Anolis sagrei: one gene and its partners. The protein of the gene in region 2 purifies or fractionates together with the protein of the main gene of each other region. This does not show direct contact. Links are inferred from orthologs where the notes say so. Each region holds a gene or a part of one and is shown on either strand. Other genes may lie near its edges.

Region 1 (7,461 bases), on a different chromosome or scaffold from region 2:
TATCAGGAGCCAGAGGAGTGATAGAATATAAAAAAAATCAGATTCCCAATGGTTGCCCCTTAATCAATCACAGCTTTGTTGTAAATCCATCAGATAATTTTGCCAAGAGGTAGAATGGTTTATCCAGGCAAGTTTTCTGAATGCTGGAAGTTGGCAATGATATTCATAAACTGCCTTGGGTCAAGGGAAGCATTTGCACTTGTTCTCAATGAAAATGTGCAATTCCCACCTTTCTGCAGGCTGTTGTACACTTTTTGTGTGCAATTCGCATCCTTCAGCCATATTGTACTCAGCAGGGAAAAGCCTTGAAATATTCTCCCCCTTAAGCCAAACAGCAACAGTTCCCTTGAGAGAAGAGTAGACTCATGGTGTAATGTGCAACACATCTTTGACCATCTCGAAAGACAAGATGCTGTTAGTTGAACTGTGGGAATAAAAACACACACACACCATTATAATAATGCGATAGATTCCTTGATGGGATTCTTGATGCTGACTGCATTGTGAAGAAGCATCAAAGGCAGGCAAGAGACTGAAGGAAAAAGATGTTTTCCTTTTTGCAGACTGCTCCCTTGAGCAATGAGGACCAAGCCAGAAAAAGCAAAGGTCAAGATTCAAAAAGGGGTTTCCCTTAGTGGGAAAAGTTGGTTTTTTTCTCCAGTTCTCGCGGCTTTGTTTTGAACCAATGAGTAATATAATGCTTCCAAACTGATTGCATTCCAGGCTTGAAATCAGAGGATGCTGCAACCAGTTTCATCTTTCTCCTTTCCACCAGGAAGAGAAAAATGCCTGGAAATTGCATTTTAAAAGGTTTTGATAGCACAAAGCCTCCCAAGCTCTTCCTTCGAGCACTGACTTCCAGCACTGCCAGGGAAATGTTTCAACGTGAGTGAATGGGTCTGGCGCCCAAGCTCCTGGAGGGCTTCAGAGGGTGTTGCGTTAAATATAAAAGCCACATGGGGGATAACGTTCATTTGGCAAGCTCTTTCTCCTGCAGGCACAGTGACTCCTCTGTGGACACTTAGAACTAGTCTATGGGGAGGATCGGCTCAGGCTGAACATGTTCACTAAAGAACAACCATGCATTGGCTTTGATTTCTTCCCATCCTGGCCAACCTTTTAAAAAGAGCGCACCATTGCTGCAATCCCACTGTCTTCACTGGGAATTATTAGGATGTGATAAGATATAATAGAAGGACATTTATTCAGAAAAGATTATTTTGAAATTTATCGCTTTTTTATCCAAGTAATGGAGAGACCGTCATATGTCAATAGGCGATTTGAAAGCACATACGTGTCCTCAATATGTGACATCATTTTTTAATTCCTTCAAAGTTAAAATGGAAGCATATTTGCCAATTTATGTCCTCAAAGATAGGGTTCAACTTTGGTTCATTACTGTGTACCTTGAAGTCAATTTGCAGTTTTGGTGACCCCAGGGCAGCCTTATTGTATAACTGTCTCAACAAGATGATGGTTTGACTCAATTGGTCTACCTTTACTTGAAACTACCAATAGGACTGAAGCCTGTGTATTGAAGATATTCTAAATTCCAAAACATACAGGACTTTAAAAAAAAAGAACTGAGAATAGAGAAACATGCATATACTGAAAATCTTATGCATACTATCTCTGACACAAAACATTAATCCTTAACATAGCTATTGTCCTAAATGGGACTACTCCAGAATAATGGTACTCACTGTTTATAGATAATATGTTGGTGAGATCATCTTTCAACAACATGATATTTAGGACCACAAATATTTTTTCCTTTCATATAAGGAAAGGAACGTAGGCCAGGTTAAAAAAAAAGGAAGAAAAGGAAGCACAGCAAAGGAAAATACTGAAATGTTAGCACTATTGATCAGTGTTACAATCTTCAGTAGTAATTTTTGAAATTCGCAATTTAAGCATGCTTTTTAATGTTAATGAAATAATAATTGTATTTATTTATTTAATTTGTCTGCCACCTTTCTCCCAGTGGGAACTAATCCAACTCCTAAAGAGACTAAATAAAAAAATCCTATGTCATCAAAAAATAGTCCCAAATTTGCTGGAAAGAACATGTTTCCTTTTTTAAACCCATGTTAGATACTACGAAAGAAGCTATAGTAGAGAAGCTGGGCCTTTTAAAGCTGGATCTGCACTGCCATATAATGCATTTTTGGAAGGTGGATTAACTGCATTGTACTGGATTATATGAGTCTACACTGCCATTATATCCTTGGCCATTCTGGTTGTGATTAATGGGTGGCTAGAGTCCAAGAAATACATGGAGAGCCACAGGTTATGTAATACTGACACCCTCTGTTACTTGCTGTATTGGTAGGATGGCAAGCCATGCTTTACTCAGATTTGGCAGACACTAAAGTGAAAAAAGAATGTGAATAATCCAGATTTAAACAGCAAAACAAGGGCTCCTTAATGTTTCCTTACGCTTCTGGAACACATTCCTGTCACCAGGGGTCAAGACCTCTTCTCTGTGGCCACAAATGAAAACTTATGCTTCAAACTCACATGATGAATGTGATTTTCCTTATTCTTGGCAGGGGGTTGGACTGGATGGCCCACGAGGTGTCTTCGAACTCTATGATTCTATAACTCACTAAAAATAAGGCTCATTGATATGAAATCACAGCGGCTGTCTAAAATATTATAATAGCCTCATTTTTAATATTTGTTTCCCTTTAGTGTTGTTTTTACAGTTATGAAATGAGGTGAAGCCAGTTATGGGTCATTATTATTATTATTAAACTATATTTGTACCCCGCTAGCATCTCCCAAAGGACTCGATGCGGCTTACAAAGGTCGAGGCCTCAACATAACAACAACATAAAACAATACAACTCAAAGCATATCAAAAACATAAAGCAATATCAACAAAACATTACATCATAAACAGTAAAACCAAGGCCGAGCCAAGTAGTGGGTACAGATTAAAAAAGTGCTGGGTGTGATAGGCGGCATATTGGATTTCAGGGCATGTGCAATGTGCAGAGGATCTTAAAACTCTAATAAAGTGCTTCTAGGACATAGTGCTGAAGTTTCCTATTCCGGGAAGGCACATCGGAACAGCCAGGTCTTCAAGCTCTTTCTAAAGCCTGCCAACGTGGGTGCTAATCTGATGTCTTTGGGGAGGGTGTTCCAAAGTCGGGGGGCAACCACAGAAAAGGCCCTATCCCTCGTCCCCACCAACCGCGCTTGCGACGCCGGTGGGATCGCGAGCATGTTCAAGAAGTGTGTGTATGTATATATGGGTGTGTGTGTATGCATGGTATTTTTGGTTTCAGTTGAATTTAACCCTGGGCTGGATTTTGTGGTCAAAATTATTCCTAAAATCTCTTTGGTGAGAAAAAAAACCCAGCTGGGAACAAAGAGATTTGGAAAGACTTCACTTGAATTTGATCTTAATTTTTTTTATGCTATAAACAAAACCTTTCTATTTTTATTTTTTAAAAGAACAATATATATATACCTTAAAGGGGGGTATGAATTATTATCAGAATTGACTCCTCAAAAATCATTTCTGTATACACTCTCCTTTATGTGAATAGGATCTTATGTAAAAAATCTCCTTATGTGAATAGGATCTTATAATAAATTGCAGTAATCAGTGTTTTTTTTCTCCCTCCCCTCTCTTTCTGTTCTTCCTTTCTTGCCCTGGAGGAGAAAAAAAGGAGAGAAATAAACCACTCCCTTCTGAAGTATTTAAAGTTAGAGAGAGAGAGAAAAAGAGAAAGGAGGGGGGAGATGGAAATAAAACACCCCCTATTCTTTCTCCTTTGAATGCTGGTAAAGCAAGACACACACATAACAAAAGTCACAGTCTGACTGACTAGTATGGAACTAGTTAACCTTTAACAATTTTATGCTGATGTCATAACTGAGCATGAGTACTGATTAATCCAACCTTTTCTCTTTCTCTCTCTCTCTTCCCCCTCCCTATAAAAAATATTTTTATTGAGGGAGGGGGGGGGGAGGGAGAGCATAAGGAGGGAAAAGGGGGGGGGGGAGAAAAAGAAATAATTTAGAGCAGCCATCTTTGTTTTATGCAGAAATCTTGTCAGTTTCCCCCCAGTGCCAGGAATGTCTAAATATTGTTCATGATCACACAGATCTTAAGAGGAGATTGGGGGGGAAAGAAAGAAAGAAAGGAAGGGAAAAAAAGAGAAAGAGAAAGAGAAGGAAATATAGCCAAGAGCAAGAAGAAGAAGAAAAGAAGCTTTTGTTTTTAATTTTTAAAATTTGGAGCTGATTTTTTTTTTATTTTGGAAAGGGGGGGAAATCTTTCTTATTCTTTTTTTTTAACCCTGAGGGGGTTAAAAAGGCAGCCATTTTTTTAAAGATATATATAAAGAAGGGGGGAGTTATATATATACATATATACCTCCTGAGGAAGAAAAAAAGGGAGGGATTGAACAGAAAGGGGGGGAAAGAGGGGGGGCATTTTTGTTTTAAAAATAATTTAAAGGCGGCCATTTTTGTTGCTTCTTCTTCTGGTGGGAAAAAATAATTATTATCCCTCAGAATTTAAATATTATATTAATTTTTTTTAGAGAAAGAAAGGACCATATCCAATTAGGAGATATGCTGGATTGTTTTTTTAAAAGACTTAATGATTATAAATTGGATTTTTAATTCTTTTTGAAGCAACCTGAGAAGAAAAGAGGAGGAAGAAGGGGGGGTCGTGCCCCCTCCCCCTATTTTTTCTCAATCAATCCATTTTTTTTGCTATTTTCCTTCCTTTCTTTCTTGTTTTTCTATTTTTTTTCTCTCCCTCAGCGCCACCATGGCTTCTCCTCTGAGGGAAGAGGACGAGGAGGAGGAGGAGATGGTGGTGTCTGAGGCGGAGGGCGACGAGGACGGCGACGAGGAGGAGGAAGAGGAGGAGGAGGAAGAAGGAGAAGAAGCAGGAGAAGAAGAAGCCAGGAGGGAGGACAACAACAACAGCAGCAGCAGTTGCCCGGGCGGCGCCGCCGACATCTTCCCTCCCGCAGCACCAGCCTTGCCGCCACAACCGCCGCCTCCGCCAGGTAAACATCAACAAAGCTTCTCCCTCTGGCTCTCTCTCTTAAGTAGGGGGTTTTGGCGCCAAAACTGCCCCAGTCCTAATCTCCCCAGCAACAAGGGGACAAACAAAATCTGCCCCGGTTACTGAGAGAAAGGGGGCGCTGTGATTGGTGGGGGCTGTTTGTCAACAGCCAACGGCTTTCGAACGCTGAGCGGCCGAAGGTTCCAAACCGACCGTTGAGGGACCCGCCGTTCCGTCCCCCCGACACTCCCCCCTCCGCGCGCTTCTCTTCCCCCTTCCCCTCACCCCCCTCCCCCCCACTTGGCCTCCCCCACTCCCACCTTTTGACCTCCTCCGGGGATGGCCTCACCCGCCACCGGGTGGCTTTCGACGCTGTGGTGGCTTGGTCTTGAAATATTTGGGGTTTTCCTCTCCCTCCCAAGGGGGTGGTGGTCCCGTCCGAGGCAACAGCCGCTTCTTCACTTCTTTAAGCGACTCCTCATTTCCACTCAGAGGTTCCCAAGAGTTGCCAGGCTCTCCTTCTGAGCCTCCAAGAGTTCTCAGTTTCTGCCTGCTAAAAGTCTCAGGCCCCTTCCACAGAGCTGAATGAAATCCCATATTTTCTGCTTTGAACTGGACTATATGGCAGTGTGGACTCAGATAACCCAATTGAAAGCAGATATTGTGGATTATCTGCCTTGATATTGTGGATTATCTGCCTTGATATTCTGGGTAATATGACTCTGTGGAAGGGCCCTCAGGGTCCAGGCAACGTTGGGCAAACTTCAGCCCTCTAGGTGTTTTGGACTTCAACTCCCACAATTCTAGAACTTGCTAAGGGCCCTTCCACACAACCCTATATCCCAGAATATCAAGGCAGAAAATCCCACAATGTCTACTTTGAACTGGGTTATCCACACTGAGATAATGTGGGATTTTCTGCCTTGATATTCTGGGATATAGGGCTGTGTGAAAGGCCCAGAGGGCCCTTCCACACAACCCTTTATTCCATAGTATCAAGGTAGAAAATCCCACATTATAAGTGTGGACTCAGATAACCCATTTCAAAGCAGACATTATGGGATTTTCCGCCTTGATATTCTGGGATATAGGGCTGTATGGAAGGGCCCTTAGTAAGTTCTAGAATTGTGGGAGTTGAAGGCCAAAACACCTGGAGGACTGAAGTTTGCCCATGCCTAGTTTGACCTGTCAAGCAGGCCTTGAGATGGAGAGGGAAGCCTCCTCTTTTGGACAGGAATCTGTCTTATGTCAGACCCCTTCTATGCAGCTGTATCAAAGCCACACTGAACTGGATTATACGGCAGATAACCCAGTTCAAAGCAGATATTGTGGATTATCTGCCTTGATATTTTGGGTTATACGACTGTGGAAGGGCCCTCAGGATCCAGGCAACAGTGGGCCCATCCACACACTAGGAATGGGCAAACTTCAGCCCTCTTGGTGTTTTGGACTTCAACTCCCACAATTTCAGAACTTGCTAAGGGCCCTTCCACACAGCCCTATGCCCCAGAATATCAAGGCAGGAAATCCCACAATGTCCGCTTTGAACTGGGTTACCTGAGTCCACACTCAGATAATAAGAAACTTTATTATTATTATTATTATTATTATTATTATTATTATTATTATTATACACTTTATTTGTATTATTTATAATGTGGGTTTTCGATATTTTCTACCTTGATAAAATCCCACATTTTTTTCTTTGAACTGGATTATATGGCAGTGTGGACTCACAACCGAGTTCAAAGCAGATATGGTGGGATTTTCTTCCTTGATATTCTGGTTTATATGTGTGGATGGGCCCTCGGGGTCCAGGTAACAGTGTGGACTCAGGGCCATGCCATACAGCCATATCACTCAGGCCCTGCCACACAGCCCTATATTCCAGAATATCAAGGCAGAAAATCCCACATTATCTGCTTTGAACTGGGTTATCTGAGTCCACACTCAGATAATGTGGGATTTTCCACTTTAATATTCTGGGATATAGGGCTGTGTGGAAGGCCCAGAGGGCCCTTCCACACAGCTGTATAAAATCCCACATTTTCTTCTTTGAAGTGATTATATGGCAGTGTGGACTCATAACCCAGTTCAAAGCAGATATGGCAGGATTTTCCGCCTCGATATTCTGGATTATATGACTCTGTGGGAGGGCCCTCAGGGTCCAGGTAACAGTGTGGACTCAGGGCCTTGTCATACAGCCATATAAATGGCACATTTTCTTCTTTGAAGTGTATTATATGGCAGTGTGGACTTATAACCCAGTTCAAAGCAGATATGGTGGGATTTTCTGCCCTGATACTCTGGATTATATGACTCTGTGGGAGGGTCCAGGCAACAATGTGAACTCAGAGCCCTTTCACACAGTCCTATATCCCAGAATATTAAGGCAGAAAATCCCACAATGTCTGCTTTATACCAGG
Region 2 (6,977 bases):
TACACATACACTTAAATGTAGAATATATTATATACACAACGCACAACATATTAATTTGATAATCGGCTTGATTATATATACATATATACACACGCACACATACACTTAAATGTAGAATACATTATATATACAACACAACGTATTAAGTTGACAATCGGCTTGAATACACACACGCGCACACATATACACACACATACATACACATATACACATACACTTACATGTAGAATACATTATATATACAACTCAACCTATTAAGTTGACAATCAGCTTGAATATATATATGTATATACACACACACACACACACACATAAACACACACATATATACACACATACATACACATATACACATACACTTAAATGTAGAATACATGATATATACAACACAACCTATTAAGTTGACAATCAGCTTGACTATATATATGTATATATATATATACATACATACACATAAACACACACATATATACACACACACATACATACACATATACACATACACTTAAATGTAGAATACATTATATACAGAATTCATAACCTATTTAGTTGACCAGTGACTTGAAGACACATATACTTCCAAACCACAAGTGCGGACTACATATACATACATACATACATACATACATACATCCAAATGAAGTCAGTTTGAAGTCGTATACTTCCAAAACTGTGTGTCTACATGTATATTACACACACAGAGCCTATTAAGCCAAACTAAATATATGATGTTATATGACAGTAACAGTATAGATCAAGGAAGTGAGGACTAGCCAATCCTTCTACACTGTGAGATTAATGCAGTTTGACCCCACTTTAACCGCTATGGCTCAAGGCTATGGAATCCTGGCAGATGTATGTATATCTATATATGAGGGATGTATGTATGTATGCATGTGTGGGTATACATATGTGTGTGTGTGTCTATATATATATATAGGAGATGTGTATGTGTATAGGTGTCTTGGAGATAGATGTGTGTATATGGGAAGTCTATATATATGTATATATGTGTGTATATATATATGGGAGATGTGTATGTATGTATGGGAAATGTGTGTGTATATATGTGTGTATGCATATATGTTTATATATAGAGAGAGGAGATGTGTATGTATATGTATATATAGTAGATGCATGTGTGTGTGTGTATGTATATGTATGTATGTATGTATGTGTGTGTGTGTGTGTGTATATATATATATATATATATATATATATATGGGAGAGGTATGTGTATATATATAAGAGATAGCCGCCCCGAGTCCCCTCTGGGGAGATGGTGGCAGAGTATAAATTTTATTATTTTATATTTATATATGTGTGTTTGTGTATGAATACATGAGAGAGGTACGTATATATATGTGTGTATATGAATATGGGAGATGTATGTTTGTATATTTGTGCATGTGCAGCTATATACATATATATAGATATGAGAGATATATGCATTTATTTATGTGCGTTGTGTGTGTGTAGATGTAATAAATAAATAAACATATATAGGAAGATGCCAGTATGCAGTGTATACATGCAGTGTATGTGTGTGTGTGTGTGTGTATGTATACATGGGAGAGGTATGTATATATATGTGTGTGTATGAATATGGGAGATGTATGTTTGTATATTTGTGCATGTGCAGCTATATACATATATATAGATATGAGAGACATATGCATTTATTTATGTGCGTTGTGTGTGTGTATATGTAATAAATAAATAAACATATATAGGAAGATGCCAGTATGCAGTGTATACATGCAGTGTATATGTGTGTGTGTGTATGTATACATGGGAGAGGTATGTATATATATGTGTATATTAATATGGGAGATGTATGTTTGTATATTTGTGCATGTGCAGCTATATACATATATATAGATATGATATATGCATTTATTTATGTGCGTTGTGTGTGTGTATATGTAATAAATAAATAAACATATATAGGAATATGCAGTGTATACATACGTGTTTGCTATATATATATGTATGTATGTATGTATATGTATGAAACAACTGACCCACAGGTTTCCGATGCAACTCCAAAGCCGAATTATTTCTCAACCCAACCTTTGGACAGGGAAGGCGAAACTCCGAGCACCTCATAGTCTTGAGCCTGGGCAGTCTGAGTGGGGTCGAAACTGTGTTAAAATTGCAGTGTAGACGCATCTAGTAAATTCATGAACATGTAACACTACGCCAGAGGCGATGATGCATGGTTCATATAAGTAATAGCTGACAGGGAAGACCTTTTATGCCGTGCATGAATGTATTATCTTAGAGATCCTGAGGCAGGGAGTTCCGCAGGTCAACAGGAACTGTTTTTTCCCCATAGCATCATATAGATCTTAGAGATCCTGAGGCAGGGAGCTCCATAGGTCAACAGGAACTGTTTTTTCCCCATAGCATCATATAGATCTTAGAGATCCTGAGGCAGGGAGCTCCATAGGTCAACAGGAACTGGTTTTTCCCATAGCATCATATAGATCTTAGAGATCCCGAGGCAGGGAGTTCCACAGGTCAACAGGGACTGTTTTTCCCATAGCATCATATAGATCAGGCATGAGCCCACCCTCCAGGTGTTTTGGACTCCAACTCCCACCATTCCTAACAGCCTACCGGCTGTTAGGAATGGTGGGAGTTGCAGTCCAAAACACCTGGAGGGAGGGCCCAAGTTGGCCCATGCCTGATCTATATGATGCTATGGGAAAAACAGTTCCTGTTGACCTGTGGAACTCCCTGCCTCGGGATCTCTATAGATCAGGCCCATGCCTGATCTATATGATGCTATGGCCCAATGCAATGGGATCCCCAGACTGGAGAGCCACAAACAACAGGGATCGAGTGGATCCTTCCCCATCTCCCTCCCCCAAACAGTCCCCCCAAAAATCTCCCCCCTGGAGATCAAGGAAAACAAGCCAGCCGCCCAATCAGGAAGCAACGTGAGCATCCTCAATGGGGAAGCAGCTGTTGCCTACCTTGCCAAGCCCAGCCAGGATTCCTGAATGGGGAAGGAACGCCCCTCGAAGGGGATTGGCTGGGGGGAGGGGAGTGCGTCACAGCCGTGGGCGGGGCGGGGCGGGGGGAAGCCACGCCCCCTTCGTCTAGTGGGTTTTTGGGAAGCTAGAGAGAACTAGATAGCAAGATGGATAGATAGAAAGATAGATGGATGGATAGATAGATAAAGAAATCAAGATAGATAGAAAGGTAGATAAATAGATAGGATAGATAGAAAGATAGATGGACTGATAGATGGATGGATGGATAGATAGATAGGTTGGATAGATGGACAGACAGATGGACAGATAGAAAGATAGCTAGATGGATGGATGGATGGATAGGTAGGTAGAAATCAAGATAGAAAGATGGACAGATAGATAGATGGATAGCAAGATAGAAAGAAAGCTAGATAGGTAGGTAGGTAGATAGAAGGATCCCGCCTGCCTCACAGGCACGTCTGGCGGGGACGAGAGAGAGGGCCTTCTCGGTGTTGGCCCCCCAGCTGTGGAACTCCCTCCCTGCTGACATCAGACAGGCGCCCTCCCTCATGGCCTTTCATAAGGGCCTGAAGACGTGGCTCTTCGAGCAGGCTTTCAACTGAGTGCTATGTTACTGGAAATGACAACCGGAATGAATTTACGACTACGAGATTGATTATGATTCCATAATATGACGCAGCGGATTTTTAGTGTAATTTAAATGTTGTGTATTAGTGATGTTAGTTTGTTGTCCTGATTGCTTTGTAAAGTGTCTTCTTTGTATTGTACACCGCCACGAGTCGCCCTAGGGCTGAGAGCGGCGGTTAATAAATGCAAGAAATAAATAAATAATAAATAAAATAAATAGATAGATAGGATAGATAGATAGAAAGATAGAAAGCTACATAGAAAGCTAGATGGATGGAAAGATAGATAGAAAGGAAGAAAGATAGATAGATAGGAAGATAGATAGAAATCAAGATAGATATAGATAGATGGAGCCCCCGGTGGCGCAGTGGGTTAAAGCACTGAGCTGCTGAGCTTGTTGATCGAAAGGTTGTAGGTTCGATTCCGGGGAGCGGCGTGAGCTTCCGCTGTCAGCTCTAGCTTCTGCCAACCTAGCAGTTCGAAAACATGCAAATGTGAGTAGATCAATAGGTACCGCTCTGGCGGGAAGGTAACTTTGCTCCATGCAGTCATGCCGGCCACATGACCTTGGAGGTGTCTACGGACAATGCTGGCTCTTTGGCTTAGAAATGGAGATGAGCACCACACCCCAGAGTCAGACATGACTGGACTTAATGTCAGGGGACTACCTTTACCTTTACCTTATAGATAGATAGATAGATAGATAGATAGGTAGATAGATAGATAGACAGTAAGAAAGAAAGACAGACAGACAGAAAGATAAAGAAATCTAGATAGGTAGATAGATAGGATAGATAAATAAATAGATGGACTGATAGATAGAAAAATGGATGGATTGATAGATAGGTTAGGTAGATGGACAGAGAGATAGATGGATAGATAGAAAGATAGAAAGCTAGATGGATGGATGGATGGATAGGTAGATAGATAGATAGATAGATAGTCAGGTAGAAAGATGGATAGATAGAGAGAGAGAGAGAAAGATGGATGGACAGATAGTAAGATGGATAGATAGATGAATAGTAAGATAGAAAGCTAGATAGATAGGTACACAAATAGATGGATGGATGGATAGATGAATGGATAGATAGAAAGGAAGAAAGGTAGAAATCAAGATAGATAGATAGATAGATAGATGGATAGATAGATAGAAGGCTAGATAAATAGAAAGAAATCAAGATAGAAAGATAGATAGAAAGGTAGATAAATAGATAAGATGGATACAAAGATAGATGGATAAATAGAAAGAAAGAAAGCTAGACAGATAGAAAATAACTAGATAGATAAATAGAAAGAAATCAAGGATAGATAGCTAGATAGAAAGATAATAGAAAGATGGATAGATATATAGATGAATAGATAGAAAGATAAATAGAAAGATAGAAAGAGCGCTAGATAGGTAGATAGATGGATAGATAGAAAGATAAATAGAAAGATGGATAGATAGGATTGATAGAAAGATGGATAGAAAGCTAGATAGATAGATAAATAGAAAGATAGACAGAAAGGCTAGATAGATGGATTAATAGAAAGAAATCAAGGATAGATAGCTAGATAGAAAGATAAATAGATAGAAAGGTAGATAGAACTGCTAGGTTGGCAGAATCTGGGGCTAACAGCAGGAGCTCACCCCACTCCCCAGATTCAAACCTGCAACCTTTCGGACAGCAAGTTCAGCAGCTCAGCACCACAGGAGGCTCCATATACTGACAGTGTATTTTATATATTGTGGTATAATAATATAATAAAATATAATAATATATGACAACTGTATATCTTACATGTAATATTGCTAATAATATTTCAGTATAGTGGTATAGTACAATATAGCAATATATAATACTAATATTGTGCTATGCTAAAATATTGTATGTATAATATTGATATTATAATGTAATACAATATATATAATAATATATATAATGGCTTAAACCTCTGTGGCAACAGGACTGAAGACCGACAGGTCGCAGGTTCGAATCCGGGAAGAGTGCGGATGAGCTCCCTCTGTCAGCTCCAGCTCCACATGTGGGGACATGAGAGAAGCCTCCCACAAGGATGGTAAAAAATCAAAACATCCGGGCAACGTCCTTGCAGATGGCCAATTCTCATACCAGAAGTGACTTGCATTTTCTCAAGTCAGTCCTGACACGTGTGTGTGTATATGTGTATATATATATATGTGTGTGTGTGTATTGGTATAATATAATTATATATATAATATTATATTATATATATATAATATATATATTATATATATTAGTATATAGTAATATATACTAATATTGTAGTATGCTAATATATTGTATATACATATATTGGGATTATAATGTAATACAATATACTAATACAATATATATAATATAGTAAAACAAATATAGTAAATATAATTACTATTGATAATATATGCAATATTGTTTTATTATTGTATATTTGAGGTTCTAATGTTTTTGATTGTGAGCCGCTTTGAGTATCTGTATGGAGAGCTAAATTGGGATATAGATAAATAAATGTACACCTAGTGGGAATTTGTAAATTAATTATTATTATTATTTTATTTAATAATAATCCCTTTTCTAAACTGTTTGGAACTCTTTGGCGCTCCCAGTGGACACAGTGAAAACTGCACCCTTGATCAAAGCAGATAAAATGTGCCTCTATGCCGCCCTCTTGAGGCCACATTGGAAATCGCACTGCTTTATTTATTATAATTATATATATTATTATTTTATAATATTTATATTTATAATATAAAAGGCACTGCCACAATAAAGAGAAGGGGAAAAAAGAAGTGAAAGAAGAGAGGAGGAAATAAAAAAAGAAACAAGGAACAAGAAGCTTTGATTGGATAGAAAAGGTACATTCGACACATCCGGAAATGGTGAGTTGTCTGTATACTTTATTTCCGTAAATACAAAACAAAAAAACAAAACCCCGAAACAAAAACGGATGTCGCCATACAACAGCGAACTGAGAACATTTACAGTTATCTCCAATTCGGATTTGATCAAGTTAATGTTAAATATTTTGTTTATTAAAAAAAAACAAGGAAAAAAGAGAATAGATTGTAGTAAATAAAAATGAAGAATATGCACATTCAATAGAGCTTATTTTCCAGTAAAAAGTTACTGAGGTTGGTTCGGATGCTGCTCTCTTCTCCAGGGAATAGAAAAGGAATGAGGAAAAGCCAACAGAAGGAAGGAAAGTGGGGCAAAAATAATGTTGTGTTGGGATACCTAGAACCCATTGTACTGGGACACCTGGAATCCATGGCAAACACATGGCATTGGGATATCGAGAACCTCCCTGCAAAGAATAAGAGGCTTCTTTACAGCCTCTCCCATTCCATCA
Region 3 (7,432 bases), on a different chromosome or scaffold from region 2:
ACCTTGGGAAGTCTGACGTGGCCACGGTGGTCCACGCTTTGGTTACATCCCGTTTAGATTACTGCAACGCTCTCTACGTGGGGTTGCCTATGAAGACTGCCTGGAAGCTCCAACTAGTCCAACGAGCGGCAGCCAGAATGCTAACACGAGCAGGATACAGGGAGCATACTACTCCTCTGTTGCGCCAGCTCCACTGGCTGCCAATTAGCTTCCGAGCACAATTCAAAGTGCTGGTGTTAACCTATAAAGCCCTAAACGACTCCGGCCCAGTTTACCTGTCCGAACGTATTCTCCCCTATGAACCATCTAGGTTGTTAAGATAGTCTGGAGGGGCCCTGCTCTCGGTCCCACCGGCCTCTCAGGCGTGTCTGGTGGGGACGAGGGACAGGGCCTTCTCGGTGGTGGCCCCATGACTCTGGAACTCTTTCCCACTGGAGATCAGAACTGCCCCCTCCATTCTGTCGTTCAGAAAACGGGTGAAAACCTGTCTATGGGGTTTGGCTTTCGACGAGTGAATCAATATTTCTGTGATCGGATAGATGACGATGAATGATGGACAACAAATTCACTATGACGACTGACCATTGTTATTATGTGATTGCATTTTGCTATTATAACGTTTTAATTGAATATGCCATATGATGTTTTTAATGATTGTTTTGTGATTTTATTGTTGGAAACCGAGTCCCCCGATAGAGGGGAGAAGACCGGTATACAAAATTGCTAAATAATAAAATAAATAAATAAATATACCGTACCCAATTGTCACATGCTGTCTTGACATGACATCCTCTCCATAAACTGAAATGATTTCGCAATGAATTGCAGTGGCATTCATGCATTTAGGTAGCATATTACAGCACAAGCTTCGCACTTGGAGGGAAACGGAATGAGGATGCTCATCTCTAACCTTCACCACAATGCCAGTCAATGAGCTACTGACGACTGGCACTGCTCGTTCACTCCCGCTTGCTTCCTGCTACACAGCAGTGATACCAACTTTCCCTGAGAAAATTCTCCATGAGAGCTACATGCTAAGTGCTAAGTGCCTGGATAAAAAGTTAAAGGGGAAAAACTTAGACAAAAGAGGGGATTGGATAAAGGTTGGAATGAAGAAGGAAATGGTTATGGAAGAATTTAGAGAAATAGAATTGACATGGTTCCATTGTATACAATTAGAACAATGGTTTAAAAATTGGGGAAAAAATAATAAAAACAGAAGTAAGCTTAACCAATTTGAACAAATAATACAAAATGGAAGGGTTGTAGAGAAGCATGAAAATTTGAAAGGAGTAACTAGTAAAGTATATAAGATAATTGAAATAAAGAAAGGAAAAACAAAAAATTACACCTGCAAGGAGGTTTGGGAAGAAGATTTAGGGATAAAAATAAATGAAACAGTGGCAACAATTATGGAGACAAAGACATCTAAAAATGTATCAATATGGGTTAAAGAAAATTATTATAAGCTAATATGGAAATGGTACCTAACACCAGTAAGAATAGCAAATATAAATAAAAACTATTCAAAAAATTGCTGGAGAGGATGTCAAGAATCAGGAACATATATACATATGTGGTGGCAATGTAAATATGTAAATAATGTTTGGGGGAAAGTATTTAGAGAAATAGAAGATATAATGAACATTAAAATAGAAAGAAGTCCTAGTATAGCTTTATTATCATTATATAATAATAAACAATTTAAAAAAGAGGATAAAGATGCGATAACGAATTTATTAACAATAGCAAGATTGCTTATAGCAAGGAATTGGAAAAGAGAAATAAATATACAAACAGAGGAGTGGTACAAGGAAGTATGGAAATTGGCAATAAATGCTAAGCTGACATGTATTTTAAAAGTTAAAAGGGGTATATGGAAACAAAGTGATTTTGATGGAGAAAATTTATTGAAAAGGATTGAAAAATAAAGAAGGAAAGTTACCTCCACAAGAAGAATTGAAATTTTGGACAGATGATATGTAAAAGCCGTGGCTTTGGGGGGGGGGGGGAGTACAGCGGTGAGGGTTAGAAAATACTTATAAGCAGAAAAATAATACGAGATGCCAAAAGTTAAAGCATGGTAGGTTGTATTGAATAATATTTATCTGCTGTAAAACAAACACTGTATAACAAATGTATTGAATCATGATAAAATAATAAAAATATAAAAAAGAGGAGCCATCTTCCATGATGTGATGAGTCAAAGCTTAGTATTTTCAAAACATAAGAATCCCATCTTAATACACTATGCATCCAGAAATATGGTGTGGTGTGGGTGAGTGTGTGTGTATAGTATATCCCAATACGATAAGGTCCTAAGAGAGCCTTTGGAAAGGACTGTATAAGGGTTACTTACTTACTTACTTAGGCGATCCCTCGTAGTCCGAGGATGATGGTCCTCCAAGTTCGGTGTCCTGGCGGTGGGTCCGTAGGTGACTGTGGAGCCCTATTCTTGATCTGCATCTTCTTTCGCAGTGAGGGCATTGGTTTCCAGGTGGAAGGCGGTCTCAGTTGGGGTTAGCTTGACGCGCCTTCCTCTTGGCACATTTCTCTTTCACCCGCCATTCGTGCCTCTTCAAATTCTGCAGCACTGCTGGTCACAGCTGACCTCCAGCTGGAGCACTCAAAGGCCAGGGCTTCCCAGTTCTCAGTGTCTATGCCAGAGTTTTTGAGGTTGGCTTTGAGCCCATCTTTAAATCTCTTTTCCTGCCCACCAACATTCCGTTTTCTGTTCTTGAGTTCGGAGTAGAGCAACTGCTTTGGGATACGGTGGTTGGGCATCCGGACAATGTGGCCAGTCCAGCAGAGTTGATGGCGGAGGACCATCTCTTCAATGCTGGTGGTCTTTGCTTCTTCCAGCACACTGACATTTGTCCGCTTGTCTTCCCAAGATATTTGCAGGATTTTTTCGGAGACAGCGCTGATGGAATCGTTCCAGGAGTTGCATGTGATGTCTGTAGACAGTCCATGTTTCACAGGCATATAGCAGGGTTGGGAGGACAATAGCTTTATAAACAAGCACCTTGGTCTCCCTATGGATGTCCTGGTCCTCAAACACTCCCTGCTTCATTCGGAAAAATGCTGCACTCGCAGAGCTCAGGTGGTGGTGTATTTCAGTGTCGATGTTGACTTTGGTGGAGAGGTGGCTGCCAAGGTAGCGGAAATGGTCAACATTTTCTAGTGTTACCCCATGAAGCTGTATCTCTGGCATTGGAGAGGGGTTGGCTGGTGACAGCTGGAACAGCACTTTGGTTTTCTCGATGTTTAATGGCAGGCCGAGCTTCTCATATGCTTCTGTGAAGGTGTTTAGAGTGGTTTGTAGATCTTTTGAATGTGCACAGAGGATGTTGTCATCAGCATACTGGAGTTCTATAACAGATGTTGTAACCTTTGTTTTGGCTTTCAGTCTGCTGAGGTTAAACAGCCTGCCATCTGTCCGATAGATGATTTCCACTCTGGTGGGAAGCTTCCCATCAACAAGATGGGAAGCTTCCCACCTTCCATCTTCATCTCATAGCGATGAAGATGGAGAATAAAGTTGGGGTAATATAAGGGTAAAAAGCTGTTAACAGCATTGCAAGTGGTAGTTTCACTATGCTCTATGCTGCCAGTCTTTTACAACATTTTTCCCCTGCTGGAAGTTGCAAGCTTTCCTTTTTTTCTCTCTCCTGATCTGAGAACAGGCCATTGACCCCATTCCTGTGTGCTTTATGACCATTCACTGACTGCAGGGCTCCCTGTCGTGGTGCACCGGTGTGTCACGCCTTGTCATTTCACAAATCTTTGAAAGGCCTTGATTGTTCACTGGCTCTTACGGCTGGCACTCAACTAACTTTCCTCCTATTGTGTAATTTTATGTGTAAGACCTGATCTGTGCAAATCTGATTATCATATCTTCGGTTCATTGATTAATGGGGTGCAATGTGATCACCTGTTGGATCAAAATCCAGGAGAAATAGGGGAGACAGAAACAGGTGCATGCAGTTTTGCATAAAAGGAAGAGGTGTAGCCACTGTAGTATGTGTATTCTTCAGTAGAAGCCTCATAATACTTGGTCTGTTAGGTGTTTTTGGTCTCCCCACCCTTTCTTCATTATCAGCAAAGAGCAACTGTCTGAGTTAAACAAACAACTCACAGATAAATTGACTTCCAGGTTGCTGGTTCCAAGGCTAAATCTTTATGAGCTGTTTTGCCACTGGGCTGTCTTTCTTGGGCTGTAAATGGAGTGTGTCTGTGTACATACTCCTTGGCAGTGACCCCGGCCATATCCTGAAACCTGATTACACACCTGAAGCCTTGGTGCCTTGGTACAGGCTGGGTTAATGACTTTGTTTATACTGATAAGGACAATTGAGATAAATGTAGTCCCCTGGGTCTCCTGGCCCCGGCTGGCACCTTCATTGAGAAAACCTTTCTCCGGGCCACGTGAAGTCTCCGTTTCTCCCCAGCCAATTGGTTCAGGGTTGACTTGTTTTTCAATGAGCCGGTGGCTGCTTGTCAAAGGGAGGTCAAGGCTGCTAGTGGGGGTGGTTTCCAATCATCCCTTCAGGGGCCTTATAAGTGAAGCTGGGAAACGGCAGCTACAGAAAAGACGGGAGAAACTGTGGAGTGAGCAAAAGGTGTGGTAGGACCAAGACAGTTGCCAAGCCACCTGTATAGGGAAAGCGTTTGCTTTTCAGATAGCGGTTCCTTACGTTCTTCTCCAACCTGATCATGGAGTGCGAAAAGTGCCCGTGGCACCATGAAGAAAACCAGAACGCCATCCTCTACACCCTCCTGAGCCAGAACTTGAGCCCCAACAGGAGCAGCGCTGGCTTTTCCCAACAGAGCTGCATGTGCCACAAGCGCCGCACGGTCTGCCTCCGGACCCCTCAAGTGACCTGCCAGGCAGCCTCTGATGTCTTGGTGAAGACCATCACCTTTGTGAAGAACCTGCCGTCCTTCCAGCTACTGCCCTGGGATGACCAGCTCCTGCTGCTAGATAGCTGCTGGGCACCTCTCTTCCTTCTGGGGCTGGTCCAGGAGATGGTGACCTTTGAGGTGATGGAGACCCCTGCCCCCAGCATGCTGGAGAGGATCCTCCTCGATGGGCCCTGCAAGAGGCAAGAGCCGCAGAGGACACAGCCCACACTGGCCAGTGTGCAGCGGCTACAGTGCTGCTTGAACTCTTTCTATAGCCTGGACCTGAGCCCTAAAGAATATGCCTATCTGAAAGGCGCCATTCTTTTCAACCCTGGTAAGTCCTGCTTGAACCCATGTGCAGTAAGAAGGTCTGTGAGAAACGGGCCAGCTTTTCATAAAAAATAGGAGGGAAGAGGAAAGCCAGTATGGTGTAGAGCAGCATTTCTCAGACTTCCTAATGCCACGATCCCTGAGTACAGTTCCTCATGTTGTGGTGACCCCCAATCATATTATTATTTTTGTGTCAAGAGTGCCATGAGAAACTAAATTGTTTCTGATGTGAGAGAATTGACCATCTCAAGGACATTGCCCAGGGTACACACCAGGGTGTTTGATGTTTTACCATCCTTGTGGAAGGCTTCTCTCATGTCCCCGCATTGGGAGCTGGAGCTGACAGATGGAGTTTATCCGCACTCTCCCCAGATTCAAACCTCCAACCTGCCAGCAGAAGGGTTTAACCCACTGTGCTACCGAGGGCTCCATTATTTTAGTTGCTGCTTCATAACTGTGATTTTTGCTACTGTTATGAATCATAATGTAAATATCTCATATGCAGGATGTATTTTCGTTCACTGGAACAAATTTGGCACAAATCCCCAATACACCCAAATTTGAAAGTTTGGGGGGTCGATTTTGTTGTTTGGCAGTTATAGTTGCTGGGATTTATAGTTCACCTGCAATCAAAAGAGCATTCTGAACTCCATGAACTATGGCATTGAACTAAACTTGGCACACAGAACTCCCATGACCAACAGAAAATACTGAAAGGGTTTGGTGGGCATTGACCTTGAGTTTTGGAGTTGTAGTTCACCTACACCCAGAGAGCACTGTGGACTCAAACAATGATGGATCAGGACCAACCTTGGCACGAATATGCAATATGCCCAAATGGGAACACTGGTGGAGTATGTGGAAAATAGACTTCGACATTTGGGAGTTGTAGTTGCTGGGATTTATAGTTCACATACAATCAAAGAGCATTCTGAACTCCACCAACGATGGGATTGTCACACAGAACTGCCATGACCAACAGAAAGTACTGTGTTTTCTGATGGTCTTTGGTAACCCCTCATGAGCCCCCCAGGGGTACCAACCTTCATAAGGCTCACATTTATTTATCTTGCAATTTTGTTGATGAAAAATTATAGGACAGCTTTACTAGAGTAACAGCAAACCGTAACAGGTGTCACCCCTGCAGGATGAGATATTGATAAAGGTGTGCCGTTACAAGTGACCTGTAGAAAAAAGATACCAGGTGGTACATCAATGGCAATGTTGGTTGTAATTTCTGATATCCAGAGCATGAGCAATCATGTTCTGATTACAAGTCCCATAATATCTGGTTGGAGTTGTAAGCTAAAGTATTATTGCAGCCTCCCGTTAGGAAAGAGATTATGCCAGGTATGGGCAAACCCAGGTCTGGGGTCGGATGTGGCCCCTTGCGCTGTTTTCTTAGGTTGTGTCACTATCCTATCCTTCCTTCCTTCTCGCTTTCCTTCCTCCTTCTCTTCCTTACCTCCCTCTTTCTCCATCCCTTCAACCCTGTTGTCCTTCCTTCCTTTCCTTCCTCTCCCCCTTTCTCCTTCCTGTTGTCTGTCCTTCCTTCTCTCTTTCCCCCCTCCCCTCCCTCCATTCCCTCTTCCTTCCCTTCCTCCCTTTCTTTCTTCTCTTTTTCCTTCTTCCTTTCCCTATTGAGGATATTGAACTGGGAGAAGAGAAGGTAGAGAGGGAACATGAGAACCATGTTTCAAGATTTCAAAGGGTCTCCCATTGAAGAGGAGGGGAAAACTGACTTTCTGCTGCTCTAGAGACCAGGGCACAAGGGAGCAATGGTTTCAAATGGCAGGGAAAGAGATTTGACTGAAAAGCTGAGGAAGAACTTCCTGTGAGTAAGAGCTGTTAGAGAGTGGTGTAGGCTACCTAGGAGTGTGGTGGAGTCTCCTTCTCTGGAGGCTTTTCCGCAGAGTCTATCAGGAGTGCTTTGATTGTGCTTCCCTGCATGGCAAAGGGTTGGACTGGATGGCTCTTGGGGTTCTCTTCCAGCTCTAGGATTCTATATCAGGAGTAGGCAATAGGGGTCCCATGGATACACATTTTCTCTCCTGTCCACCATCTCATCCTGACCAAGGCCAACCCTTTTGGGATCCAAACATTTCCTGTTTTTCCTTCACTTTCTGCCTCTGAAAGAGAAGAGGAAGGGGAGGAAAGGGTAGGGAGGAGACTTGGGGGAGAACCCCCTTCCTCCCAG
Region 4 (7,674 bases), on a different chromosome or scaffold from region 2:
CTGACAGTGGGCAGACATGTATACTATGTTCCTAAATCAGAATATTTTATTAGGCTCCATCACAGCTAAATATACAACATATTTTTCAATATTACTAATTTATTTATTTAGTGTTTATATTCCGCCCTTCTCATTCCAAAGGGGACTAAGAGTGGATCGTAGAACACATATATGGCAAACATTCAATGCAGTTATACACTGACAAGACAGACAACTGTACATAGAATACAGTTTTGGCCTTCAACTCCCAGAAATCCTAACAGTTGGTAAACTGGATGGGATTTCTGGGAGCTGTAGGCCAAAACACATGGGGACCTACAGGCTGGGAACCACTAACATAGATAGAGGTATATATCTTCTGCATCTGTGCTTGGTTCTGCCACCAGGGTGGGGGTGCTGTTGCTCCACTTTTCCCTGTGGAAGAGCTTTTTTGCCCATCTCTAGCATCTCTATGCCTCGAAATTATTTCTGATCCTAAGATGAACTTATCATGAACCTTCCTTAGCAAGATTTGTTCTGTGAAAGTTTGTCTTTGCCCTCTTATGAGATTCAGAGTGTGTGACTTGCACACCCCAAGTGGGTTTCCATGTCTGAGTTACATTTGAGTATCCAGAGTCACAGTCCAATGCTCAAACCACTACACCATGTTGGCTTTCATGAGTAGCTATTACTTGATGTGTTGCCAAAGAATTTCATGGCCGGAATCACTGGGTTGCTGTGAGTTTTCCAGGCTGTATGGCCATGTTCCATACATTTAGAATATTATAATGTAATACAGTATAATACTACTACTAATAATATGATATTATAATTATATATTTTATATTACATGTAATATTACTAATAATATTACAATATAATTGTATAGTACAATATCGTGATGTATAGTGCTGATATTGTACTGTGCTAATGGTATAATGTATTGTATGTACGTATCTATCTTGTAAGCCGCTCTGAGTCCCCTTCGGGGTGAGAAGGGCAGAATATAAATGTCGCAAATAAATAAATAAATGTTCCAGAAGCATTCTGTCCTGACGTTTCATGTACATCAATGGCAGGCATCCTCAAAGGTTGTAAGGTCTGCTGGAAACTAGGGAAGTGGGGTTTATATATCTGTGGGATGTCCAGGGTGGGAGAAAGAACTCTTGTCTGTTTGAGGCAAGAGCAAATGTAGCTATTGGCCACTTTGATTAGCATTGAATGGCCTTCAAAGCTTGCCTGGTTGCTGCCTGGGGGAATGCTTTGTCTGGAGGTGTTAACTGGCTCCAATTTATTCTTGTCTGGAATTCTCCTGTTTTCTGAGTGTTGTTCTTTATTTACTGCCCTTAGAGTTTTTTTAATACTGGTAAATCAGATTTCCTTCATTTTCATGGTTTCCTCCTTTCTGTTGCAACTGTCCACATGCTTGTGGATTTCAATGGCTTTCAATGACATTCTGGAACATGGCCAGACAGCCCAGAAAACTCACAGCAACTCAGCGATTATTCGATTTATCTCCCCCCAAAAATACTTAAGGCAGTTAAGAAACGACAGGCGCTGCAACTGATCAGTCTCAATGGCCACATAGTCATCATTCCTATGCAAAGGAATTAATGAAATTTGGCAGCACTTTAACTGTTATGACTCAATGCTGTGGAATCCTGGGAGTTGTAGTTTGTGGCATTCTGGGAGTTGTAGTTTGGTGAGAAACGGACACTCTTTGGCAGAGAGCAAAGGAATTAATAAATTTTGGCACCACTTTAAGAGCTAAGGCTCAATGCTGTGGAATCCTGGGAGTTGTAGTTCGTGGCATTCTGGGAGTTGTAGTTTGTGGAATCCTGGGAGTTGTAGTTTGGTGAGAAACGGACATTCTTTGGCAGAGTTGGCTAAAGACCCTGCAAAACTACAACTCCCGTGATTATGTAGCATTGAACCGTGGCAATTAAGGTGGTATCAAACTGCAATAATTCTACAATAGAGATGCACCGAAGGGCTCTTTCCACCCCCCATTCTCCATTCCAACGCAGACGGAACTCCCAACGATCGTGGGGAGCCTCTACACTGAATAATTAATGCGGTTTGACCCCGCTTGAGCTGCCACGGCTCGGTGCAGAGAAGGCTAAAGACCCCCATCATTCCGAGGCACTAAATCAGGGCAGCTCAAGTGTTGGCGAACTGCATTAACTGGACAGTGCAGACGCCCCTCTTGCTGATCCCGCTAATCCCACCTTCGTTGCCCAGGATCAGCTGCTGTCCTCACATTTCGGCCCCGTCTAACTTTCTTCTCTGGCGGCAGCTGCGATCAGGAGGCTTTGGGTGCCAAATCCGGCCGCAAGAGCGAAGGCATCGAGCAGGGGCGTCTCCGGAGCTCTGGATCTCGGCGCAAGCCCCGCCCATTCGAGCCTATGCTAGCCCAGCCCCCACTCCCGCGGCGACCAATGGGAAGCAAGCCTCTCCTCCCGCCTAGCCAATCCAGCGCAGGGGCGAACACAGCCTACCAAGCAACAGGCCCCGCCCACGGGCTAATGTGTAAACCCCGCCCCTCCTCCAATGGCAAGTCGACTTCTCTCTACATCTGGCCAATCCAACACAGAATGGAGAAGGCCCTCCCAGCCAATGAGGAAGCCTGTAAACAGCCAATGAGGAGGCGGGCGATGGCTCGTTGTCCCGCCTCCCTTCTCCTCCCTGATCACTATGTGAAACAGACGCGCAAGGCCGGGGACCCGGATGTTGGGCGAGGATAAAAAAGCGACCGCGAACGCACTCTGAAGCAATCGAGGCCTCGAAGAGGAGGTGCGCGCCACTCCGGCTTGTCTTCTCCAGCGCTGGCTGGCGGGCGCCTCTCTACGGAGCCCTGCCTCCGAAGCGCGTCCCTCCCCCGGCCAGTTACCTGCAGCCGGAGTTGCGGCGGAATCTCCCTCACGAAAGCCCCCAGCGCCGCTTTCGGGGCTGACACCGCGCGGGGGCTCAGTCCGGGAGTGTTGCTTCCGCTGCCGCAGCGACGCACCCCTCCCCGCTTCTCGCTGATTGGCTCCCGGCTAGTTCCGCCCACTGTGGCGGGAGGCGGCGATTGGTCAGAACGCTGGTCGCGAAGGGGCTCCTGGGAGTTGGAGTTCGAGATCTGAGCCTGGATTAGGGTGATGTCGCGAGACGCTAGTTGGAGCAGAAAGAGTGCTATTGGTCCCTCGGAAGGGGGCGGGACGCTTGTGTGTTCTCTCCGCCTACCGAGGCCCTGATTGGTTGGCTTCTTTGTGAATGGCTTTGGAGGGAGAAGCAGTTTCTCTGCTTCATATAGAGATGGCGGGAAAACAGACTGGGAGCAGTAAGAGAGCATTGATTTATTTCCAGCATTTCTACCCCATCCTTCTCAACCCGCGAAGGAGGACTCAGGGCGGCTTACATTTTTTTTTAAATTTTATTATTACTATTGTATAATACATAGAAACATTCCATCTTTGAAAATAACATTCAAAATACCAGTTTTTTCCCCAATCCCGCCACCAGCACACCCCCCCCCCCCCCGGGAACAAATAGATACTTTAACTGTGTTTATTACAATTGTTCAATCATGAGAATAGTTTTGTTCAACACCGTATATTTATCTTTCCCCTTTATTCTATATATGAGACCCTTCCATTTTGCTTTCCATGTCTTTTTGCTTTGACCCGTCATATAGTAACTTTTCCTTTCGCTAATATAATCTTGAAGAAGGTAATCTGCTAAATATTTGTACCAGGTTTTTGTATCCCATTTCTTGTGGTCTTTCCAGCCCAGGGCCACTGAGGCTTTAATTCCCTCTATCATATGTTTTATTATTTCCTCACTTTCCTTATATTCCTCTTTATTTTCGAATTTCTGAGTGAAAAATTGGGCCTTATTCCATTCTATCTTGATCCCTAATAGCTCCTCCATTTCTTTCCTGATTATTTCTTGGAACTTTTGGATTTTTTCACATTCCCACCACATGTGGGCATATGTTCCTATTTTACCACAGTTGTGCCAACATAATTTTGGGCACGTTTTTGTGATATGCGCCAGTTGCACAGGAGTTCTGTACCATTTTGTCAATATTTTTCGTTGCATTTCTTTAATCTTTAGGTGTTTTATTTTATTGATTGAATTAATCCAATTGTCTATTTCTCTCTCACTGCAACTTAATTCCTCCTTCCAGACTTCTATTAGGGTAGATTTTGTGTTGTATTGTATTTCGGTGATTGTGTTATATATAAATCCCATGATTCCTTTCTCCCTCTCTACTTTCCATTTTATTATTTTGTCGAGATTTGTTTCTGAGGTTTCCTTATTCTTCAATTCTATTAGCTTTTTAGACAGCCCTCCCCATTGTAACCAATTTCCATGCCCGCATTTATCTTTTATTTCCTCCCATTGAATTACAGTCCCGTCTGGTTTTAGTAAGTCCTCAATCTTTGTTATTCCGTTTTGTTCCAGTTTCTTTAGAATGTTGCGATATAGCTGGGGTTTTCTGTTGTCTAAGGAACCTATTGGGAGCTTGTCTATTTTATTTACTGGGAGTTTATTTTGCCATTTTCCCCAACAAGTCATTGTTAATGACAAGGGGCCTCCTTTTATGTTTTTTAGTTCTTTCCCCCCAATTTTCCCCATAATGCAAGATCCATATTCCCACCCGTTTGTTAATTTCTCTAACCTAACCCATCTTTTGGGCTCACCGATATCTAATTCAAGTAACCTAACCAATTGACAGGCTTCGTAATAGTTCTGGAGGCAAGGTGCTCCCCAACCTCCATTTTCTTGTGGAGTATAAAAAATTGAATTTGCAATTCTGGTTTTACTAGAGCCTACTACCCATGTTTTAATTGAGTTATCCCATTTCTTTATTATTTTGGGAGGAATGCTACATGGAAGGCATTGAAATAAGTACAAAAATTTGGGCAGTATCATCATTTTATATGTCTTCACCCTTGTTGTTATATCCCAATTCCATTTTTTCCAATTGTTAATCTGTTTGCTTATTTTCTTCCATAGTTGGTTATAATTTATCTGAATTATGTTATTTAGATTTTTAGGTATATACACTCCTAAGTATTTTAACTTCTTTTCCCCCAGTTTGACCCCTAGAATAGATTGGACTTCTTTCACCTCCTTCCAGTTCATGTTTTTAGGTAGGATTTCTGATTTTTCAATATTAATTGTTAAGCCTGAGATCTTTTCAAATTTTTTAATTTCTTTCGTTACTTCAATTACCGAATTCTCCATTGAACCTATGAGGACTACTGCGTCGTCTGCATACAAATTTATTTTTATTTCTTCTTTATCTATCTTATATCCTTTTATGTTTTTGTTTGATCTGATTAGATTAGCAAAAGGTTCTATCGCTAGTGCAAAGAGAAGGGGGGAAAGAGGGCAACCTTGTTTGGTTCCGCTTTTGATTTCAATAGTTCTAGAATTGGATCCGTTTACTATCACTTCAGCTAGATTATCTTTATACAGTTCCTTAATTACTCCACATATCTTTTTTCCTAAGTTACTCTCCTCGCATAAGTTAGCCAAATAATTATGATTTATTGTATCGAATGCTTTGTAAACATCTAATTTTATTAGGAGTAATTTTGTTTTCTCTCTAGTTGCATGGTCAATTATATTTATGATATTTCTAATTGGGTCCGCTATCTTTCTTTTTATAGTAAAGCCGTATTGATCTTCCTCAATTAGAGTGGGTATTACCTCTTTCAGCCTATTAGCTATTATTTTTGTGAAAATTTTGTAGTCCACGTTGCATAAAGTAATAGGCCTATATGAGTTGGGGTCAGTCCCCTCTTTGTTTGGTTTTAAAATTGTTGTAATTTCGGATTTTTTCCATGTTTCTGGAATTAGTTTATTTTCCATGATTTCATTATATAGTATTAGTAAATTAGGGGTGACTTCCTTTTGAAAAATTTTATAGAAATTTGTAGTGAGCCCATCGGGGCCTGGTGAAGAGTTTATTTTTAATTTCTTTATTACCTCCTCTATTTCATTGCTAGTGATGATCCTGTCCAGTGTTGCTTGGGATAGAGGGTCTAATTTTTTTTGGAGTAGTCCTTCCGATTTCACTGTATCCTTACTTGTGTACAGCTTTTCGTAGTAATTGGCCATTATTTCCTTTAGGTCCTCCTCACTTGTTTTTATTTGGCCCATCTCGTCTTTCAAATTAAAGATTTTTGTTTTCCCTTGTTTCTTTTTTAGGAAATTTGCTAATTTCTTTGTGTTATTTATGGAGTTTGTCTGAAAGTCGTTCTTGACCCAGATATATTTCTTTGTACTTTCAATTTCCTCCAGGTTTTCTAGTTGTTTATTTAACTCTATCCATCTCTTTTTCCCCCCCACTGTTTGGTCTTTTTGAAATGATTGGAACGCTTCTTCTACTTCAGACCTCAATTTCCTTAATCTTTCATTTTCTCTTTTATTTATTCCCTTCTCGATTGTTATACACTTTCCTCTAATTACTGCCTTGAAAGCATCCCAAACTATGTTTTCTTTCATTCCAGGGGTTCTGTTTAAGTTAAAATACTGAATAATTTGTTCATTTATCTCTTTCCTGTCTGACTCTTTATAAGCAACTTTTGGGTTAAATCTCCATTTTTTCACTTTGTTTATGGTATAATTTCCTAATTTTAAGTAGAGAGGTGCATGGTCTCCTGGCCAATAATTGCCCACCAAAAGTTCTTTTATTGGCATTGTGTTGTTGATACCCACCAGGAAATAGTCTATGGTAGAAAATGTTGAGTGCCTATGTGAGTAGTGTGTTGGGGTATCTGCTCGTTCCCCTATTCTATTGTTGGCCTCTATTAAGTTCCACTTACTGAAATTTATCTTACAATTTGTACCTGAATTTCCAGTTCTATTACTCTTCGTTTTTTTGTACAATTGTAAATTTAGGTCCCCACCGACTATTATATCTCCTATTGCATGCTTTTCTATTTTTGAGCAAGTTTTGTTTATAAATTTTACTTGTTTCTGATTTGGGGCATAGACACTTGCTATTGATACCTGAGTATTGTTAATTTTACCTATTATCATTATGAATCTACCTTCAGTATCTTTAATGACCTTTTCCAACACAAAGGTTTTCCAACACAAAGGCTTACATTTGATACAGTTTGATGCCATTAAATATCTAATCAGATCTAATGTGCCAAATAGTCTCTGTTGTATGTTTTTATGTTGAATGTTTTTATATTGTGTATTAAATTATATTTTAAATTGTAAGTCGCTCGGAGCACCTTGGTGGAGAGCGACTAATTAAGAAATAAAGTGAAGTGAAGTCAATATAACAAGAATTAAAACAATAAATAGGATTTTAATTAAAACAATAAAAACAGTATTAACTGCCGTATCACCATTCCAATCATATTCCACATCCAAAGCGCTATTTTTATCCCTGCTGTCCAAAAGCTTGGTCCCAGAACCACGACTTCAATTTCTTCCTAAAAGACGGGAGGGATGATGCTGAGCTTACCTCGTTGGGAAGCGAGTTCCACAGGTGGGGGGCTACAGCCAAGAAGTCCCTGTCTCTTTTCCCCGCCAGATGTATTTGCAACGCTGGCGGGAGCAAGAGCAGGGTCTCCCCTATGATCTTAAACTTCAAGGCGGGACGTAGTGGGAGATGCATTCAGACAAGTAAGTGTTGCAGCATATAGGAGAGAGAATATCAAGAGAGATCCTTTCTGGAGGAAG

Evidence for each region.
Region 1: the proteins of SIN3A (region 2) and CHD3 purify together in Homo sapiens (affinity purification with western blotting; 3 studies listed by BioGRID, with this or other methods). This does not show direct contact. The link is inferred for Anolis sagrei from reciprocal best matches to the Homo sapiens genes SIN3A and CHD3.
Region 3: the proteins of SIN3A (region 2) and NR0B2 purify together in Homo sapiens (affinity purification with western blotting; 3 studies listed by BioGRID). This does not show direct contact. The link is inferred for Anolis sagrei from reciprocal best matches to the Homo sapiens genes SIN3A and NR0B2.
Region 4: the proteins of SIN3A (region 2) and SAP130 purify together in Homo sapiens (affinity purification with mass spectrometry; 4 studies listed by BioGRID, with this or other methods). This does not show direct contact. The link is inferred for Anolis sagrei from reciprocal best matches to the Homo sapiens genes SIN3A and SAP130.

What each region holds. Positions count from the first base shown.
Region 1 is NC_090026.1:6,300,777-6,308,237, forward strand, and holds the start of CHD3 (chromodomain-helicase-DNA-binding protein 3), read left to right. Parts: upstream 1-4,461; 5' UTR 4,462-4,792; coding exon 4,793-5,036; intron 5,037-7,461.
Region 2 is NC_090029.1:8,581,266-8,588,242, forward strand, and holds the start of SIN3A (paired amphipathic helix protein Sin3a), read right to left. Parts: upstream 3,027-6,977; 5' UTR 2,982-3,026; intron 1-2,981. UniProt on the Homo sapiens protein: Acts as a transcriptional repressor. Corepressor for REST. Interacts with MXI1 to repress MYC responsive genes and antagonize MYC oncogenic activities. Also interacts with MXD1-MAX heterodimers to repress transcription by tethering SIN3A to DNA.
Region 3 is NC_090034.1:72,712,200-72,719,631, forward strand, and holds the start of NR0B2 (nuclear receptor subfamily 0 group B member 2), read left to right. Parts: upstream 1-4,414; 5' UTR 4,415-4,716; coding exon 4,717-5,239; intron 5,240-7,432. UniProt on the Homo sapiens protein: Transcriptional regulator that acts as a negative regulator of receptor-dependent signaling pathways. Specifically inhibits transactivation of the nuclear receptor with which it interacts.
Region 4 is NC_090023.1:220,772,033-220,779,706, reverse strand, and holds the start of SAP130 (histone deacetylase complex subunit SAP130), read right to left. Parts: upstream 3,018-7,674; 5' UTR 2,870-3,017; intron 2,361-2,869; exon of another isoform or gene 2,208-2,360; intron 1-2,207. UniProt on the Homo sapiens protein: Acts as a transcriptional repressor. May function in the assembly and/or enzymatic activity of the mSin3A corepressor complex or in mediating interactions between the complex and other regulatory complexes.